2 linked regions of the Cricetulus griseus genome follow. The protein of the gene in region 1 purifies or fractionates together with the protein of each later gene. This does not show direct contact. Links are inferred from orthologs where the notes say so. Each region holds a gene or a part of one and is shown in the gene's direction. Other genes may lie near its edges.

Region 1 (2,567 bases):
ACTCCCACCCTCACCCCCAACTACCAGGACCACGGGCCTGGGAATTTCAAATGTACATCGAAGATAAAAATTTCCCCTTAAACTCCGTACCTTCATATTCCATCTCTAGTCCATCCTGGAGGATTCTAATCAACTAAAGACTTCTCCAAAACTGCTCCAGGAGGGTCAGCCCTAGATGCTTCTAAGGGAATTTCCAACCCGCCCAAACCTCTGCATCCTAGACTGCTCTAAAGTGGCTAGCCTCAGGTGGTTCAACATCTCAGACTGCTCTAAAGCGACCTGCACTTTCCCAGCCCCAGGTGGTCCCACAGAACCTGGGCAGTGAGGGGAAACAGATGTGTCGTCCCCCCTCCCCTCCCCACCAGCCTGTACTCCTCTCTTCTCATTCTTTGGCCATCATTCCAGCCTTCCTGGGCCCCAACACAGATGCCATTCCAGCAGGAAGCAGTAATAGAAAAGATTCCATCACCCTTTATCACCCACAAAAGGCTGGAACGTTAGATCTCACAGAAACCACAGACAAATGGCTGAGGTGCCTCTTTAACATATCAAAGCTGATTCTGGTGACCAGTCTCTCTCAGTCCCTACTCACAAATAACCTGTCACAGAGTCATCTTGAGTGGCATATGCTGCCCCCTAGCCTCAACCTCTCTTCAGCCCATGGTCTGGGTTTCTCCTCCCCCAGCCTCTGATCCCCCTATAATCTCAACCTTTTTGAGCATGCAGTCTCTTGGTCTCTTGGTTCCCCTCTTGGCCTCCTCCTTTCTCCACTCTTCTCTTCCTCTCACTCCTACCCCTGCACCCCTTCTCTCATGGCACAGTTTATATGGACCCTTCCAGATGCCTCTGGCTGTTGTCTCCCTCATATCTACAATAAATCTTGTCCTCCACCATATCTGGAGCAGTCATGTCCTCATTTCTTCATTCAGTATATAGTCATGCTTTGCTTGGTGATGGGAAGATTTCAGAAAAAAAAATATATTTTAGGGGATTTTGTAGTTCTGCAAACATTCTGTAGCATATTTGCCCAGAGCTGGCTGGAGGTAACCCATTACTAGAGCAATAAGACAACAAAAGGAGATCAAGGGGATACAAATTGGAAAGGAAGAAGGCAAATTTTCACTATTTGCAGATGATATAATAGTTTACATAAGTGACCCAAAAAATTCTACCAGGGAACTCCTACCGCTGATAAACACCTTCAGCAAAGTGGCAGGATACAAGATTAACAACAACAACAAAAAAAAGGTAGCCCTACTATATATAGATGAATATGGCTGAGAAAGAAATCAGAGAAACATCACCCTTCACCATAGCCACAAACAACATAAAATATCTTGGGGGCTAACTCTAACCAAACAAGTGAAAGACCTGTATAATAAGAATTTTGAGTCTTTAAAGAAAGAAATTAAAGAAGATACCAGAAAATGGAAAGACCTCCCATGCTCTTGGATAAGTAAGATCAACACAGTAAGAATGGCAATCTTGCCAAAAGCAATCTACAGATTCAACATAATCCCCATCAAAATCCCAGCACAGTTCTTCACAGACCTTGAAAGAAAAATACTCAACTTTATATGGAAAAACAAAAAACCCAGGATAGCCAAACAACCTGTACAATAAAGGAACTTCTGGGAGTCATCAGGAGGCCGGCGGTGCGGGGCTGAGGGCCCTCGGGCTGAGCAGTCATGTCGCACAAACAGATTTACTATTTGGACAAATACGATGACGAGGAGTTCGAGTACCGGCATGTCATGTTGCCCAAAGACATAGCCAAGCTGGTCCCTAAAACGCATTTGATGTCTGAATCTGAATGGAGAAATCTTGGCGTTCAGCAGAGTCAAGGATGGGTCCATTATATGATGATCCATGAACCAGAACTTCACATCTTACTCTTCCGGCAGCCACTACCCAAGAAGCCAAAGAAATGAAGCTGTTGAACCACCTTTCAAACTCAAGCTTTACACAGCTGTCCTTCCTTCCTACACCTTCTGATAGCATGATTATGTTGCTTTCTTATTTCTCACTTTGACATTTAAAGGATGTTTGTTCAAAACATTGTTTGATTGTGTTGGTACCTGCTTTGCTTCTTGAGCTGAGCCACCAATGCCACAACCTGTCAGATGAGTGTGACCTCAAAGACCTGGTGTGCTCTTTATCCAGTAGGCATATCCATACTTGCCATCTCTGGGAAGCATGTGAAAATCAGATCATGGCTGTTACAGGGATAGTGTGAATTTCCTGTTGTGGTTTTTACTATTGGGTATTGTATTTATGGTGACTTACGGATTTATGTTTCAATATATTGGAAACTTTCCATTTTATCTGACAAATCTCTTCCATGTTACAAGCCTTGATTAAAGGAAGTTTTTATAATATAAAAAAATAAAAAAATAAAGGAACTTCTGGAGGTATCACCATCCCTGACTTAAAGCTCTATTATAGAGCTATAGTTCTGAAAACAGCTTGGTATTGGCACAAAAATGGACAGGTAGACCAATGAAATTGAATTGAAAACCCTGATATTAACCCACACACCTAAAAACACCTGATTTTTGACCAAAAAA
Region 2 (2,630 bases), on another chromosome or scaffold:
GGCCAACTGCCTGCTGCTAGCAGGGGAAGTAGTCAAACAGTCAAAATAAAAGATGGCATGAGCTTGAACATGTTAAAGATGAATGCCAACCTTAGGTCAACTGTAAGTGCATTCATTGGTCAATGCCCTGTGCTGTTACTAAAAACTCAATGGTTGTCTTTTCTCTGTAGCCTGAGTCATTGGTACAAAAGACTGGATATACCCTGGAAAGTCTTAAACCTTGTCTCATGGACCTTCACCAGACCTACCTCAGAGCAGCACAGCATGCTCAACAGTCAATAAGGGAAAAGTACAAACATTCAAAGTAAGAATCAGATTCTCATTCATTTAAAGGGTATGGTAATCTGCCACAGCTGCCTCAGTAAGGTAAATGTGTTAGGAAGCTATTGTACCTGGCATTTCCCCCTTTCATCTGGTAGGGTATGGGTAAGGTAACACACGTTTTGAGTCTAATCAAATAGAAATAGCATTTCCCTAGGCTGGGGCATATAAACTGTTCTGTGATCTCCCCAATGAATATTTACTAAAAAAAAATTTTTTTTCTGCTCAACAGATACCATGGTGTTTCTCTTCTCAACCCACCAGAGACACTAAATGTGTAAGAATGAAAGACTACCTTTGTTTAAAATGGGAGTTCACAATGTACAGTTTTGTCTTGGGTTTTAATCTCACAAATCATTTCACAATGTAGATGGTATAGCCACGGACAAATTATGGTATCCATTGCTTTTTAAATGGTTTTAATTTGTATATCTTTTGTACATGTGTCTATCTTAGATATTTGGCTAATTTTAATTGGTTTGTTAACATTTGGTGCTGCCAACTGTCAGGATAATAAGAATAAATTGATTTGGAAATCTTTGCAAGTCAAAGTTAATTTGAGATAAAAATAAGACTGATAATGTCACTTAGAAAGGCTAACTTGGTTTATTGTTCAGTGGGGGTAGAAAAAGCTTCCTAAAACTGAAATATTTCAGGGAAACTGATCTTCAAATTCTGACATTGGTTATTCTAAGCAACTGAACCAATTGCTGACTTGGTCATAAAATAAGCAAAAACTAGATTCTTCAGTGTAGCAGAGACTCCCCAGACTCATTCAGTTCTACTTTTACAAATAAGATTTTACATGGATTAGGAAGATTTTGTGCAACAGAAAAGTTGTACAGAAAGTTTATTCAAAGCATAATGTTACAGACAAAACAATTTATGAAACAGTTCAGCTCTTATAATGGATTTTCAAATAAAAAAATACCCAGTGCTGTTAAAGCACTGAATAAATATCCTTTTAGTAGTTTTATATATATATACACACAAAAATATCATTTTAGCTTTAATTAGCAGTTCTCTTCTTTTTCCTCCTTTTCACTTGACTTTTACTTGGTGCCTTTTCTTTTGCATTGGTGGTCTGAGCTCTGCGAAAATAAAGTAATACCACAACTCAGTGTATGTCCACTGAATCCTGGACTGGATCGCTGGAACTTTAAAGGCAAAGGCATCCTGTTTTACAGACATAAGTCCTATTTTTATGTATATTTGAAAGTAACCAGAAATCTGTTACCTTATTTTCTTTGGGTTCTTGTCTGGTTCCAAAATGATCATTTCTTCTTCTTCGCTATCTGACAGCACTATAGGGGCACCTTGGAGAAAATACCGAAAGTAAAAGTAACTACTTATTAGTATCATTAGTCTGAATGCTCCCATTTCCATGCACACACAGCTCAAGCTCTGCTGCCTGGAGGCAGCATATACAACATACTCTTTCCAAAAATTTTGTAAAAAATACATGTTTTTTGTAGTTTTTGTTTTTGTTTTTTTTTTTTTTAAGAGGACTCACGTAGGCCAGGACGGTCTAGTTTATTACTACCAGGGCTAACCATGAAAAATGTAGAGAACTTTTGTTTGCCCATTTTTGTCTTGAATATTAATTATATATATATATATGTAAATAAAGCATGCAAATTAATCATTTGCCTATTTTGGCTGTGTATTCTTGTCTCAGCATTCTTTATTCACATGCTTTAGAAAAACTCTACCATCATCATCCTTGTTATCTTAGCTGTTCATGAGCCTTACTAAATCTTAGGCAAATAGATATATACACAAGTGTAAAGACACTAGCCAGTGATAGTGAGGTAACAGCATTATTGATGGTTAAGACAACTGGATACAATGAATGGTATAAAACTCACCCATTAACCTAATTAAACCAACATTGTTCCCCTGTCAAAACAAAAACCAAGTCTATAAGCAATGATTCTCTTTCATGAAGACAAGTAGAATATGCATTAGTTCAGAGTGCATACTTCTCTGGTAAAGAACCTGAGTTCAGTTGCCAGCACCTACATATGGCAGGTCGCAACTTCCTGGAACTCCAGCAAGTTCTCTGACATCTATATGCATACCCTGGCACACATTTCTTTTTATGGCTTTTGGACCACAGCAAGTTAGACCTTCAAGGGACTTCTAACCTAAAGATAGTCACTGCTACCAATGTGGCCAATTTTGTGTGCATCTGTGTAAGTATACATGTGTGCTGGTCTCCACAGACCAAAAGATGTGTTGGTTCCCTTGGAGCTGGAATACAGAGGGTTGTGAACCATCCAGTGTGAGTACTGGGATCCAAACTCTGG

The links.
Region 2: the proteins of cyclin-dependent kinases regulatory subunit 1 (region 1) and Ccna2 purify together in Homo sapiens (affinity purification with western blotting; 7 studies listed by BioGRID and IntAct, counting the BioPlex papers as one, with this or other methods). This does not show direct contact. The link is inferred for Cricetulus griseus from reciprocal best matches to the Homo sapiens genes CKS1B and CCNA2.

The regions. Positions count from the first base shown.
Region 1 is NC_048596.1:133,402,679-133,405,245, forward strand, and holds cyclin-dependent kinases regulatory subunit 1, read left to right. Parts: upstream 1-1,650; 5' UTR 1,651-1,688; coding exon 1,689-1,931; 3' UTR 1,932-1,977; downstream 1,978-2,567.
Region 2 is NW_023276806.1:113,103,034-113,105,663, forward strand, and holds the end of Ccna2 (cyclin-A2), read left to right. Parts: intron 1-170; coding exon 171-304; intron 305-553; coding exon 554-602; 3' UTR 603-1,330; coding exon of another isoform or gene 1,331-1,412; 3' UTR 1,413-1,558; coding exon of another isoform or gene 1,559-1,637; 3' UTR 1,638-1,963; downstream 1,964-2,630. Other genes in the region: Exosc9 (exosome complex component RRP45), read right to left, coding at 1,331-1,412, 1,559-1,637. UniProt on the Homo sapiens protein: Cyclin which controls both the G1/S and the G2/M transition phases of the cell cycle. Functions through the formation of specific serine/threonine protein kinase holoenzyme complexes with the cyclin-dependent protein kinases CDK1 or CDK2.